Linked DNA regions of Struthio camelus. The protein of the gene in region 1 purifies or fractionates together with the protein of each later gene. This does not show direct contact. Links are inferred from orthologs where the notes say so. Each region holds a gene or a part of one and is shown on either strand. Other genes may lie near its edges. The genes, in order: SKI and RMND5A.

Region 1 (7,494 bases):
TTGATTTCTTTAAAAATAAATGTTTCACCATTTGTTTTAGCCAAAAAGCTAAGAATTTGACACAAATTTGTGAAGTAATATTCTGTGAGCTGTAACTGTATATTGATGGAAAAAATGAAATATTTAATTGAAAAAGATTGCCAGACTCTTAGGTAAGTCTTTTTCAACAAGAGTTTGAAATTTTATTCTGCAGGTTCTGGATAGTTTGTCATTTCCCAGTGTCACTATAAGGGGAATAGTCAATGAAAGTGGTAAACTTTAGCAGAGGTTCCTTAAAGAAAGGAGGGAAGGAAATGTCATAGTATATTCTACTTGTGTAGAAATCATTTTGCTTTAATACCTAAATGTCACGTTTAGAAGTGAATATGAACAATGCAAACATGAAGAAATTAGATGCTCACTGCTATAATGAATTACCATCTAAATTAAGCTGCAACAGCGATTTTGATGTGTGTCACATTTGCACATTTCATTTTTTACTTGTCTTTCTTCACATTCTTCACAATAAGCCTTTCCCCAATGTTTTGTCAAATAGCTTCAATAGGAAGCACAGTTCTTGATAATCCCCAGGTCTTCCTGTCTAAGCAGACATCTTAAACCAGAGCAGGGCTAGGGTGAATCATTTTAGGATATACTTTTTGTATGTATATATGAAAATATGCATAAACATGTCACCCTCCACTTTGGGAGGATGTAAAAGGTGGGACATGATAGTTGTGAGAGGCTCACAGTTCTGCAAAAGAAGGTGATGTGGGTGTTGGGGGGGAAATGAATTGTCCGTTAAATAGGGAAAATGGAGTCTGCTTTTTGTTCGGGGCCTTTGGAATCTGTGGGTGGATTGGAACTGGCAGGCCGGGAGCAAACACCCACCCACTACAGGGCTGTGTGGTTCAGAAGTTTACAAGAGTGTTTGTGTTCCAGAAGCTGTTGGCCTTGAAGCCAGTGGGGAGGGGGAGGAGAAGAGGGAGAAAATGAGAAAAACACTGTGGTGTTAGGGCCCTTCCTCTGAGATATTTTTTTCCTTCTCCTTTCTCCAGCTAGAGGGCTGTGGAACTAGAGCAAGACAAGCAGTTACTGGGGGAAAGATGAATGTAATTTTAAAATACACTGCACTGCACAATCCATCATCAAGGGAGGCAGAGACTTCAGAAACCGCTGACACCTTAATCCCAAATGAGAGCGCTCTTTGCTCCTCTTTCTCCTGCCCTATGGCTATTTGATTCTACAAAGCCTATAAGTTACAGACAAATGGAAATTTTAATGTATTGTTATTGTATGAGTTGCAAACGCCAGTCTTTTGATGCCTAGAACTATGTGGAGAAAACTGCAGGTTGAGCTGTTTGATTCTAATGCTCTGCCCATCTCTAGCACTGTTATTCCAAGAATCTAAAAATTGTTTTCTGTCACTTCATGAATTTAGGTTCAGAAGCTGCCCCTGATTCACAATCTCAATATTGCAAATATAGAAACTGAGGCACAGAGAGACTAAATAGCTTGCCCAAGGCAACAGGAAGTCTGTGGGAGAATCAATTCCAGATGTCCTGAGTTTTCTGCCGTAACCACAAGCCCATCCTTCCTGTTTTTTGGTAGTCCCCTCTGCTTCAGGAATTCCATATATGAATTCCAACCATAAACAATCCGTTGTGTGCTCCAGTGATTTACTTGCATAAAAGACACATTTGGAAGGGAAGATGGCACCTCTCTTAAAATAAGCTGCAGTTATTACTGTTATTTCTAAAGGATGAGGGAGGAGGAGTGCCAAAAAACATCTTCCAGAGCTAAGAAGCTTTACGTTACTAACCGAAATTCCTTCCAAGCATTAATTTCATCCTTTAAAAGGATCAGGAACTCCATACTCCCTGTTGAGTACGTCTGGACATTTATATCCTAGTGAGTTAAAAATGGCTGAAACTGAATTAAATCTGTCTAGGGAATTATTCTACTGCTCATTACAAGTGTATCTGAGTTACCTTCTATGAAAAACAGTTAAATTCCCATATTCCTAGTGGACTTCATCAAGTATCTAGTACTGCTCTTGTGTCATATTCAGAACTTTTCTAAGATGAGGGTGAACAGTAGGAAGAGTTTTTTTTTCTAGTAAAGCACATGTTTTGGTCTGGAAAGATGGCATGAACGGAATGTCATGGATGTGCTTCATATTATCAATAAGTGACATAAATCAGTTCAAAAAAACACTATTGAAAATGATTCTTAACTAAAGCTTTTAGATAACCCTATTACTCAGTGCAGAATACTCCTAGGCCTGCTTTCTGTTAACATGGTAACCTCTTTAGCACTAGGAATCAGTAACTAGCACAATATAGTCTTGATTGTCAGTTCCCATCTTTAGACTTTGGTATGGTGGTAATACCTAAGAATTCCACTCATGGATCATTAAATCCATTGTGCTATGCACTATATGAACACAAATCCAAAGGATACTTCATGCCAGCAGTAGATAAAGGTTCTCTAAGCATCTTCTCTCAGTACATGAAGATACAACTGATGACTTGAATCAACATGTTTGGTTCTTCCCTTCTCTGAACTCCCTATTAATACATGAAGGCTTGATACTTCCATTGGATGTGTGAGAGAGGGCTTCCCTGATGAGAAATGCTGATTCACTTGAAAGATCAAGGCTCTTTCACAACTCTTTGACACCTCTTTCCCTTACTCTGAATGTGATTTCAGAATATAAAAATTCAAATAAAATATCAGCTTGATTTTGACTAAATCTCATCCTTTTCTTGTTTTCTACTTTGCTCTTTGAAGTGGTATATGGAAATACATCTATTTGCTCTACCTCTTTTTTCCTGATCTGTTTTCTCTGAATTTATATTATAATGGTAAGCACTTTCAGAAGAGACTATCCTAATGCTCAATTTCTGCATCCCTCAGTGTAGAAAGATTCTGAACTATGAATACTGCTTCGACTGACAACTTCATTACAGATAATACTTTTAACAACAATTGTATTTCTGTGAAGCTATTCTCCAGCCTTGTCTGCACACACAGTGAATTTACAGAGATTCCAAGATCACAGAAATAACCTTTTAAATTTGTTTCTTATGTGTGTGCTTAGAGCTAGTTAAAAAATGTTCAGACTTTCAGTTATGTAGCTCATGAAAAAAGGGGAAAGTCAACTTTTTTGTTTTGTAAATTAATTTTAATAGAGACTAGAGAACATTTAATTCCTGCTCAGAATAATGAAATAATAATAAAATTCGCAGAACTGAGCAGTGGTGATATGTGCACGCATGTTGATATATTCATTTTAACTTCTCCAAACTGTTCAAGGTTGAAAAAGGGATCAGTAACAGAACAGGAAACTTTCAAGAAAAGCCTTCAGTTCTGGAAAAAAAGTGCAAAATCGCTCAGTAGAGGGTGCTCTTCTCTCTGGGTCTGCACAGAGTACAGCCAAATGGGAGGTAAAAAAAGAGGTCCTTATTAGCCATGGTCCTTAAATATTCTGTATCACATTTTGTTGAAATAAGGATATTGACTTGCTCAAATTTGTAACAAATGTATTTTTTCGAGCCTGAAGTCACGTTACCATTTCAGTGGGGGTTTTGGTAGTTCATCTATTTTCTCTGTACCCGTATTGTGGTTGTGCCTTGTATTCCTTCCTTATATCAAACATGCATGGAGTTTGCGTGTTTGCATTAGATGCGTAGAGTGTTAGGCATATGGCATTTGTGTATTTTGCTCTTTATTCCATGAATGTTTTTTAAAATATCGAATGCATGTGTATGAAGTGTTGTGTAAATTTGGTGCATGACTTGTCATGTTTTGCATCTGAGTGATTTGTGCTATCAATGTATATACTGTTCCATATCATAAGTTGTGTTTGTAAAGCTGGCATGTGTATTGTGTTTGCACGTGTGTGATTTCTGCTAATACAAAGGGGTGTATGCTCAATGTTGTAAGCAGGTTTTGCAAGTACAGGTTTTATGGGGTGCACTTGCACTTGTATGTGTGCGAGTGTGAGGCATACACTTTTTTGTGTGCTCCTTTTTTTTACTACTGTTCAGGAATAAAACTGTAAGAAGAAAAAAAGCCTTGCCCTCCCGCCCCTCCACCGCAGCGAGCTGGTCTGTGAACCCAGCACTTTATTCTCTCTCTCCCCGGCTCTGCCGCCCGGGGCCTTTCTGTGCGCCTGCTTTGCAGAAGCTCTAAGAAGAGCGAGAGGGGGGAGGCGGCCGCTGTTCCTGGAAGAGCCCAGCCTGGGGAGTTGGTCACATTCTTGGCTGTGATTCAATGACTGAGGCAGACACCAACAAACAGAAAGGGGGGGGAGGAGTGAGGGAGGCTGAGCCAGCCTGCATTAGCTCAGCTTTCAGGCACTCTCAGTCTCTGCTGGAAAGAGGAGCTGGGAGGATGAGCGCTCTGTTACCGCGGCTCCCCACAGCACGCTGAAAAGACCGAGAGAAAGAAGAAAGGAAAACCGAGAGACGAAGAGTCCTCCCAGACCAAGCTAAGGGACCACGAGAGAAAAGGGAGCCTGCCTATCTGTCCTTCTGTAGTCCCCTCGCCGTTTTGGAACTGCCAGGGATTTGGGCCTTTTAATTTTATTCTGCGTTGTTCCCCTCCACAGACGAAGCTTTCTTCCTCCTTCTGCTTTTTACTTTCCTCCCCCGCTCCTTCCTTTTGGTGGATATGGACAGAACGGAGATTATTGCAGAGAAGCAGCAGCCGCCAGAACATATTTGAGCCCCTGGTGCTCGGAGCGTGGCATAGACTTTTTGTATTTTTGTGGGTGCGTGCGTGTGTGTGTGTGTCTTGTATGTGTGTCGGAGGTGTGGGGGGCGGGATTGGTTTGCTCGGGGGCTTGGTTGAGGGGGTGAGTGTTCGGATGAAGACCTCTTTTGGCGTGACTCTTTGCTCCATCGGGGCATCTTTGGAGACTTGGAGGTTTTGAAAGTGTAACAAAGCGAGAGAAAAAGAAGAGGGAGAGAAATACGTACAAAAAGGATTTATTTGCTGTTCATTAGTGGATTGTTAAACCTGAGTGGGAAGGAGAAAAAACGAGGGTGGGTTGTTTTATTTTTATAATAATTCTTTTTTTCTTAAAAAAAAAAAAAACCAACAACTTTAAGTGGATTTTTTTTTTTACCAGGGTGGAAAATAATTGAGGGTTTTGTTGTTTGTTCTGGGAATAGAAACTAAAAAATGGAGACTGTAAGTAGAAGCAGCTTCCAGCCTCATCCAGGACTGCAGAAGACCTTGGAACAGTTTCATCTGAGCTCTATGAGCTCCCTGGGTGGCCCTGCTGCTTTCTCAGCACGATGGGCACAGGAGATGTACAAGAAGGACAATGGCAAAGACCCAGCAGAACCTGTATTGCATCTGCCCCCTATCCAGCCTCCTCCGGTGATGCCTGGCCCCTTCTTCATGCCCTCGGACAGATCCACAGAGAGGTGCGAGACCATCCTGGAAGGGGAAACCATCTCTTGCTTTGTGGTGGGCGGAGAAAAGCGGCTTTGCTTGCCCCAGATCCTGAACTCGGTGCTCAGAGACTTCTCCCTGCAGCAGATCAATTCAGTGTGTGATGAGCTACATATTTACTGCTCCAGATGCACCGCTGACCAGCTGGAGATCCTCAAAGTCATGGGCATCCTGCCCTTCTCTGCTCCCTCCTGCGGGCTCATTACCAAAACTGATGCTGAGAGGCTTTGTAATGCCCTGCTTTACGGTGGCACCTATCCTCCCCACTGCAAGAAGGAGTTTTCCAGCACAATTGAGCTGGAGCTCACAGAGAAGAGCTTCAAGGTGTATCATGAGTGCTTTGGGAAGTGTAAGGGGCTCTTAGTCCCAGAGCTTTACAATAACCCCAGTGCAGCCTGCATTCAGTGCTTGGACTGCAGGCTTATGTACCCACCTCACAAATTTGTGGTCCACTCTCACAAATCCCTGGAAAATAGGACTTGCCACTGGGGCTTTGACTCGGCAAACTGGAGGTCCTATATTCTCCTCAGCCAGGATTACACTGGGAAAGAGGAGAAAACACGGCTGGGCCAGCTCTTAGATGAAATGAAAGAAAAATTTGACTATAACAACAAATACAAGAGAAAAGCCCCCAGGGTAAGTGATGTCTTTAATTCTTATTTTAACTGAGGAAGGGAGAAAGAGAAAGGGGAATTTTCTATAATTTAGGTGACATCCATTGATATACCCATGTGTTACCAAGTACTTTTCATTTTGAAGTCACTTAGCAATCTAACCATGCTGTTAATTCTTACCACGTGTTTTTCAGTGTAGATGAGCAGAGTTTGAGATGGCACTTTTTAATGGTTGTGAATTTAGATTTTTTTTTTTCTGTTCTGAATACAGTAGTTAGAGTTTAATTGAATTACATATCTATATGTATTTGTTTATCTTAGTGTACATGGAACTTGATCTTTGAATCCCATCACATTGCCCCAGACTCTAGCAGGAAGTATGTAACATCGGGATTTAAGGGCATGAATTAGGGGTCAAGACAAGGAGGATGCAAGAGAAAAAGTAACAGATTGCTCCAAACACAAATATATACAGCTTCCTTCTCAACTGCATACCTCCAGGGGTGGAGGCAAAGGCTAAATTGTCTAAATGCATGTATTGTAATAAAATGTGACTGCTAAGAAAAATCCTGACAATAATGCAGGCTATTAATATTCAGATTAAGTACCTGGTACGTGAACAGAGATTTCTGTGCTTTCTGAGAATCTCAGTGGAGTCTGAATCTCACCACCAGACTGGCTTTTCTATATTGGATTATGTGTATGTTCAGTAAATGAATCTGTCTAGGGCCAGCTGCAGCAGCCTCTTTAAGGTATGCCATGCAGTATTCAGTCTGCCTATCCAGACAGCACGTTTATTTTAGGTGACTTCCCCCCCCCCCACTTCAGTCTGAGCTGCCTTTAGATCCCAGAATCCCTTGTCTAGTATGTCGGTGGGAGGCTGCCTTGGCATCTAGCACCAGTCCTGATCAATGGGCAGCGATGAGTGCCACAGGGCCTTGAGGATTTGCTTGCAGACACCAGGATGTCTGGCTAGCTGGCAGTGGTGCAATTGGCTGCAGGATGAGCAGTTGACTTCCCACCCCTTTTCTCCCCCCCTCCCCAAAGGGTAAAAGGCAAATAAGAAAAGTCGAATTAACTCTTGCCTACTGAGTTTTACACTGCTGATTTGTTGTATTGATTTTGCCTCATCTGTTGGAGATTTTGGAAACTTTTCATGGGTTTTTAAGTGTCTGGAGTGGAAGAGCAATGACACTAGCCCCAAGGAGAAGCAACATTCAAAGCCCGTTGAGAATGTTCAGTAAGATTCTTAATTAACTTCCCAAATATATGTTTAAACATACAAACACACACTCAGACTCATGTATAACTTTCCTTTAAAAAAAAATACCGAAGCTGATTAAATGCCTTTCACACACAATGCAATAGTTAGTAAAGCTAGCCTAAAAGGCCTAATTAATAGATTGGATTGGCTTCCACGTTTTTTTGATCAGTG
Region 2 (7,924 bases), on another chromosome or scaffold:
AATTGAGACAGCCTCTTCAGTGAATTACCACTGATTTGATTCTATATAACCTGAATTAAAAAATAAAATTTCTCTAAACTATTAGAGAAATAGCACTAAAGGTGCTTCCTAAATTATTTCAAGAATAACCACTATCTCTTTGTTACTATTTTATTATGACAGACATTTAAAAATCACATAAATGATTGTAAAGAACTGTCTGGCCAGAAATTATGACTTCTGCCAAGACAAAATAACGAGAGATTACACAACAAAAAATCCAAACACTCATTCCACTAGTCTGTATTGCCCAATAAACAGAGATGTCCAAATAGATTCTCTTGGTAGTCATTTTTTGCTTGAAAAGCCATTAAGCCAAAATCCAGCGTATGTCCAGTCAAATCTAGGCAACTTAAATGCATAGGTATTTTTGGCAAACAAGTAAGTGGATTATTCTCCCCTAAAACTTGCTGTAGCAGAAACTAACTACAGCAAAACAATGAAAATGTCCACAAGAAAAGCTATCAGATTCCTAAGAGAAAAGATTTTCCCCTTGTACATATCTCTTTCAGCTTTACACTCAGAAGTTATTTGTAATAAATCAGCAGAAGAAAGCCTGTGAATAGTCTTTTTAGTAATTCAGTGTTCGCAGAATACTACAGAACAATTAGCTTCTCACTGCATTGTGCATCACAGTCATAATCTAAAAGAAAATACATTAGCAATCGGACGCTAGGCACAGAGTAGAGTTCAAAGCCAAGCTTAGTCAGCCAGACACATGTTTATACCATCCAAGAAGAATAAACAATATTGCCTTGACTACTCAGGGAGATTAAATATATTAGGGAAAGAGAGCAGAAAAACAAAGTTTCTCTTCCTAATCAGTCGCTTTAACATAGGAGTATTTTGCATTTAGACTTTGTTATAGAAACAACTCAAGAAATTTCAAGAGACTATGAGTGGGGAAAAGAAAATCAGTGTTTAGAGGATGAAGCAGCTTCTAACAGTTTCTTTTTCTCCACCCACTTCCTTTTCATATCCACTGCCTATTTAAAGGTCTTTACATACAACCTTGCTCTCACCTCTTGTCCTACAACATGATTTTCTTCTTCAGTAGTACGGTTTTTCTTTTTTTTTTTTTAATTATATACATAAGCATATTTTAGCACTTCTGACCCCTGAACTATGAAGCTTCACATTAAGAGGCCTGGCTGCTTCCACTTCTGCTCATTTTCTAAAATATTCAGGATATAGCATATAATAGCTGCAAATATCTGGTTTTATTAGAAAGTTTTAAATAACATGTTAAAGAAAAAATAAGAATTTTGCCATCCGTGAAGACAGCTTACCCTCAGATGGCAAAAGTTAATAGGGTCTCTAAATGGGCGTACACGTAACACATTAGTTTCATTGTAGAGTACTGACTAAAACAAAGCTCCAGTTGGCATGCATTCTCCTGGGATGGCATCACCACTGATTTCATAAGCACCGAAAACATGTCTGGGGCCTTCACGAAACAGTCCCCAAAACTGTTAACCCAAGTCTGCAGGGAAGACACAGGGAGCACCCCGGAGGGACTGCGCACTTTTCATTTTTTTATGGAGAGTGTAAGCTCTGGATCTGCAACAGGATTCTTGTGGGCAAATCTTTGCAGCACCACAGAGGCCTGTGAAGATCAGTGCAAGCATGAGGGCCACGCCACACATCCTTCCAGGCAAGGGCAGCACCTCGGTGTGTGAAGACACACATCCTATCGACTGTCCTTAATGCACAAACCTAAACTGTGTTGGATAGAAAAAATAGTAAAATCAAGTCAAATCAAATAATGCCCCAAAAAGATTAAGTGTTCCTTCATCCCCTCCCAAAACGCCTCAGAACTGGCACTCCACATTTACTGTTGGTGTAAATTGCTGGGTACACACAGCAGCTCTAATATATTTGTTGCTACGTTCCTGGAATTAAGTGCACTTCCAAGCAAGCTTCGCACCTGTATTTCTACAGGACTAAGACAAACACAGTTTTCTCCGAACTGAACAAAAGCAGATCGCAGAAACCGGTGAAGCGGCACAGTTTGCTGTCAGGTTTGGGCTTAGGAGCCCGGGAGTTCCAGTTTAAAATCCCCGAGCCGTGGCTCGCTTCCTACACAGCCTGGGGTAAACCGCTCGGGCTGCCTCCCCGTTCCCTCCCGCTCCGTCGAGAAACGCTGCGTTACCTCTGTCCGGGGCATTTGGCAAAGCTGAAGCGGCCCCGTGTTTAAAGCTCACGCCTCAGAGAGCTCACTCACCCGCCAGCACTAGCCGTAAAAAAAAAAAAAAAAACCAAAAAAAAACAAAAAAAAACCTGCACGGCCAAAACTTGGGAGGCTGCGCTTACGCTCAGCTCCAGAGCGGCTTCGCCCTGAGCGCTCCCCAAGCTAGCCACGACTAAAGCAAACAACGGAGCGGCTGCGGAAGTAACGACGAGGAAAACAAGGACAGCCAGCACAACGCTGCCATCCATCCGTCTGTCCGTCCATCCGTGCTGGCCCCGTCGCCGCTCAGCAGGAAGGGGCAGGAGATGCCTCAAGCAGCAAGGACAGGCAAGGCCCTGCTCCTGCTACAACTTCCCCCCACCACACACACACCCCAAAAGTGTCACCCTTAAAGATAAATAAATAGATAAAAGAAAGAAAGAGTGGGACACCGGGGGGGGGGGGGGCTGCTCAGGCCCCGCACAGCGGCCGGGACCCCCTCGGGGCCGCCGCACCAGGCCGCTCGCCGCCGGCCCGCGGTGAAGTTTCGCCGCTGGCGTTTCCCGGCCCGGTGAAGGGAGCGGGGGGGACGGGACGGGCCCGGTGCGGCGGGGGGACCGGGGAGGAGGCGGGGGGGGGGGGTCTGCACCTACTCTCGCTCTGCAGGATCTCGCGGCGCAGCCCGCCCGCGTACTGGATGAGCTCCTCCAGGCTGCGCTCGCAGAGCTGCCCGTAGCCCGAGAACTTCTGCAGCACCTTCTCCAGCTCCCGCTCCACCGTCACGCACTGGTCCATAGCGGCCGCCGCCGCCGCCGGGCCCCGCTCCTCCGCCGCCGCCGCCGCCGGGCACCGGGCCCCACTCCGCCGCCGCTGGTTCCCCCCCCCACTGCCCCCCGATCCTGCCCGGCCCTCGCCGCCCTCCGGCAGCACCGCCCGGCCCGCGGAAGGGCCCCGCTCGCCTCCCGCCGCGCTCGCAACTTCCCGCTCCTCTCCGGTGACGGCGGCGGCGGCGGCCGTCGCGCAGGCAGCGCCGCGGGCAGCCCGGGGGCCTCGGCGGCGCTCGGCGCAGGCAGAGCAACGGGCAGCCCGGGGGCCTCCCGGCGGGCCGCCAAGGGCGGGGCGGTGAGTGTTGGTCAGGCAACGCCGCGGACAGCCCCGGAAGGGCCTCGCCCCCCGCCGCGATGGGGGGAGTGAGTTGCCCCTCTCGAGCCGGCGGAGGCCTCAGCAGCGCGGGCCTCTAGGCTCCCCCCTTAGGCAGCCCGCGGGGCGGGCGCTGAGAATAACAGTCTAGGGCGAGGGGGGTCCTCAAAGTGCCGTGTTACGACTCAGGCAGTAAGGTAGGCAGCTAAGAGCGGGGTCCTGCGGGTGCCGTTGCCATGGTGACAGGCGCGGCCCGCGGGGCCCTGATGTGCGGCCCAGACCGGGCCGCACCGGCGGCTCCTCGGGCCGTGGCGGAGGGGGCCGAGGGGTCTCCTGCGCCGTGGGGCGCCGCCGGCTGGGGCTGGTCCCTTAGGTGTAACTTAGCCCCCGTGCTGAGGTGAAAATCGCCGGGCAGCAGCCCGTCGCGGCGGGAGCGGAGCTCCGCGGGGGCCGGGGGCAAGGCCCTTCCCCACCGCCCCCAGCCTTGCACTGCTACGTACCGCCGAGAGGCTTGGAGCGGGGTCAGTGCTTCATTAACAATCCTGGCGGGCCGGAAACGGAGGATTTAGGCTGTCATTAGGGCACTAGCTTGGCCAGCAAACTTCCTCTTGAGTGTTGAGTCTCGTGGGTTAAAGTCCTGCAGCCGACTGATGAGCGCGGTTGAAAGAGATGCATGCCCCTGTTTGCTTGAGTATCGCTTGGTTGGCGTACTTGTGGCAACTTCAGTGTTTGGAAAGTGTAGCACAAACCAGACCGTGGCCCCACGGTTTCTGTAGCGCAGTACATCAAAACCTCCTGCTCAACTAGACAAAACTACCTGCAAAAACAGCACTTGGTCTGAGCCTGGAGTGATGTTGTGTCGTCTGTGCCCGTGTAAAGTACTGCTGAAATAGGATAAGAAAATAGAGAAATCTGTATTCTCTTGCAAGAGCACGTGATTTGTGTAGATGCCTACAAGTGGCTGTCATTCTGTTGGATTCAGACCAAGACTGCTGCCCTTGTTTGTAGTCTTATTCTTTATGTAACCATATGTGATGTTTAAAGCCATGCAAATATCATCTTGGGTTTTATGTCATTAGCATGCTGGTTTGATTTGTTACGTTCTTCACCACTGTATTCTCCTTTGTCTTCTGTTAGCATAGGCAAGCAAGTTCACTTTTTTTTTTTTTGTCATTAAACAAAACCTATGTCTTTTGCAGGGAGCAGTAAATGGATTCTCACTGTTAGAAAAAAGAAAATATTACCTGCTTCAAAAAAAATGATCCTTTATTTCAAGATTTAATTAATCCATTTTGCTCCTGTATATTGGTTTGGCCTTGATACGTGTTCAGTTTCTGTGACATTGACTACTGCGTATTTGAAGGCAAGGGAACTTGCCACGGGACGGGGAAGAGTGACTCTCAGCTACAACTAATAAAATGCTTGACTAGATAAAGCTTTGAGCAACCTGGTCTGGTGACATAGCTGGCCCTGCTTTTTGAGCAGGCGGCTGGACTGCGTGACCTCCTGGCATCCCTTCCATCCTGAATTATTCTATGATTCATTACTAGATCATGTAAGGAGTGCCTCATTTAAATAGCTAGTGCTTTAGTTGAGCTGTCAAATCTTGGCCATCATGCTGCAAAATAACATCTACGTGTTAAATCTGTGTCCTTTTGGCCACTTGTAGATAATAGGAAACACCTTACAGTTTCTCCACATGTAATAAAATAGTGTTATTTGGCTGCTGCCATTTTGCTTTGAGACTCTCACACGCACTTACTGGCTGTTTTGAATAATATCAGTTAATGACAAGTAGGCAGGGTGTCATATAATGTATACAATTTGTGGCAATGCACCTATATTGTAGAAAAAGTACATCAAGGGATAGTATGTGAGTGAGCTCCTAACAATTACACTTACAGAGCAGGCTGACTCTTAGGAAAACTGGTTTCAGATAGTCTAAATGTTAGTTTGCTCAAATTTATCTTGTTGTATGTCAATATTAAAACCGTGCAAGAAGAGGGTATGATAGTATTTAACTTGGCAAGGGATTTAACTTGGTAAGGGACTGACTTACAATTTTCAGTTTCAATGTTATGGACTTCAAAATGACAGCCCTTCTTTCAGTGTTCCCTGTATAAGACTGAGTCTAGGAAGTGGATTATTGCCTGTATTTCCAGGCTGCGGAGTCAGCAACTGCCCGTCAGGAAGGATGGGGGAGGAGAGGGAATCCTTGCCATTTATCAAGGGGCAGCTGAGGCTTCAAATTTGGCCCTCTGACAAGAAAAGATGGTTGTCCCATTTCTCAGGATTTGGTCTCGTTCTCTGGTAAATCATAGTAAAATATTTTTGCTGCCAAGATTGTTTAAAAGCAAATCCCTGCTTCAGGTTTATGTTTAAGGGTAGGACTTACATACTTCATTCTCTTCACGTTTGTAAGACTGCTCTATGAGCATCGGACTGACTGTCTGATGGCTGTTTAATATCGTTAATTAGGTTGAGTTAACACTGGGGTCTTTAAAAATGTCAGCATCTTTCTTGTTTGCCTTCAGCCCAAATGAGTTTTCAATTCACTGTTCTCTGCATTTCCAGATAATTAAAATCCCTGAAAACGTGTTTGCAGCTGACACGTCAAAGACATTCGGAGTTCCAGCTAGAAACCAAGAAATGCCGGTTGCGTCTAGAACATCATGGCCAGTTCAGGTGGGGTCAGTTTAATAAGTCAGGGATGCGAAGGTGGGGAGAAAAAAGAGGATGAGAGAGTCTGGGAGAGGAGAATTGTTTTAGGAGGTCTTTCTCACTGTACTCAAATATGAGTCCGAGGAAGAAAATCCAAGCCTCTGTTAATATGTCAACATTTTCTGGTTTGTTTGAGCAGAGCCCTCAGTGCTGTGGGAAAGTCTCCTAGGCACCAGTGTTTTAGCACAGAGGCCCCAGGTCTGCTGCTCAGCTTTCCTAGCAATAATCCTTTTCTCTTCCAGGCTTTTGGTTAACTCACCTGCAGTGGCCAGTTCCTGGTCATACCAGTGCCCAGTATGCTTTCCATTTGCGGCTGTGCCCCTATTCATCATTGCTTTCTGTTGCCCCTTTGCCTCTGTGTTCATAGCTGCTTTGCTTTTGGTTGTTTGGGGGGCTTTTGAACAGTGGTTTGAAACATACTTTTTACTTTCTTGAAGTTACTCCAGGGTTTTGAGTTTTGGCAGATGATTAGCTTAGTATCTGCAGGGGACTCATCATCACTTACCACTGGGGAATGTTAGGAACTGATTTAACTCAGCCCATGAGCATTAGGAAATGACATATTGGTGACAGCCTCCCCAGCAGTTGGTGTTGCAAATAATTTTGCTGTGAGTGTAGACTATTAATTGTTGCTAGGTGCTTTCCAGCTGGAGGAAGCCAGACTATCACTAAGCACAGCACACAGCCTGAAGCAATAAGGGGAAGGAGGGGATACAACAAAGTGATTGGGTGGAGAAGGGTCTACAGCTTCTCGTGTTAAAAACAAAATGCTTTTTTTCTTTTTTAACTCAACACACAAAGTTTCTCTGCAAACATTTAACTCCGTATCTTCCTCCCACCCAGCACTCCACTTATTCTTGAGCTGCTCACTTGAAACAAAAAGTACAGAAATCAGGCAGCTTCTTGTGTGTGTCACAGAAGAAAGGGGTCTTCATGAAGCTTTTAGAAGAGAAGAAAAATGTGGTTTTCTTGGTGTGTTTTCAATACTTGAGAGCCTTCCTTTGGTCCTAGCGACAGGTGATGTTGAGTGTGCTTTTTATTGAAAGTACTTTGGCTCTTCGAACAGTAAGAACAAAACCGTTCTCAGTTTTGTTTTGGCCAAGGGGAAAGGATTAATCCTAGTGAGGTGGCCGCTTTCATATTAGGGAGATGGCCACTTACTCCGTTGAAGAGGGAGCTTATGCAGCTTTAATGTACTATGAAGGAGGAGGCAGCGCTTCAGCCCTGTCCTCCCACAAGCTCTTCCTGTCGACTGTTCCTCCAGTACGTTGTCCTCACGCTGCACTTCCCACAAGAGGCTCGCTTCAAATCAGAGTGAACTGATGAAATCAGTTTGCATTTAATTAAGCAGCATCAGCAGAGCTGGGTTTTGCAGTCCACCCTCTCCGCCTTTAATTTTTACTGCACCACATAAAAAAGGTATGGAGAATAAGGGTTGAGATAGCTCCTGATATGAGGCACAAAATTTACACGCCCCCAAGGGCTTGGTTGGTGGGCAGCTGCTTCTACAATCTCTCTCCTCTTCCACTTTCCAGAAAACAAACTGCACTGGGTCCGTTGCAGAAGAAAATAGCGTCCCGAATTTTCCTCTTGAAGAGGCAACGGCTGTGCACGAACGTGCAATACCAGGCAGGCTGAACCTGCATCCCACTCTGCCCAAATCTTAGGCTGGATAGGTTAGGGCACGGAAAGACAAAGGGAAAGGATAGAGTTCTTATTCCTCTTCTAGAACTGTTGACATTTTGCCTTTTTTTTTTTTTCCTTTTCTTTAAATCATACCACCCTATAAATGTGTTTAACAGTTCTGAGGAGTTTGGCTATGTAAATGCTTTCTCTCTCCAGGTCAATTTTAAT

The links.
Region 2: the proteins of SKI (region 1) and RMND5A purify together in Homo sapiens (affinity purification with mass spectrometry; 3 studies listed by BioGRID and IntAct, counting the BioPlex papers as one, with this or other methods). This does not show direct contact. The link is inferred for Struthio camelus from reciprocal best matches to the Homo sapiens genes SKI and RMND5A.

Annotation. Positions count from the first base shown.
Region 1 is NC_090962.1:2,804,348-2,811,841, reverse strand, and holds the start of SKI (ski oncogene), read left to right. Parts: upstream 1-4,247; 5' UTR 4,248-4,756; exon of another isoform or gene 4,757-5,159; 5' UTR 5,160-5,169; coding exon 5,170-6,081; intron 6,082-7,494. UniProt on the Homo sapiens protein: May play a role in terminal differentiation of skeletal muscle cells but not in the determination of cells to the myogenic lineage. Functions as a repressor of TGF-beta signaling.
Region 2 is NC_090945.1:80,788,640-80,796,563, reverse strand, and holds the start of RMND5A (E3 ubiquitin-protein transferase RMND5A), read right to left. Parts: upstream 3,145-7,924; 5' UTR 3,005-3,144; coding exon 2,863-3,004; exon of another isoform or gene 2,192-2,862; intron 1-2,191.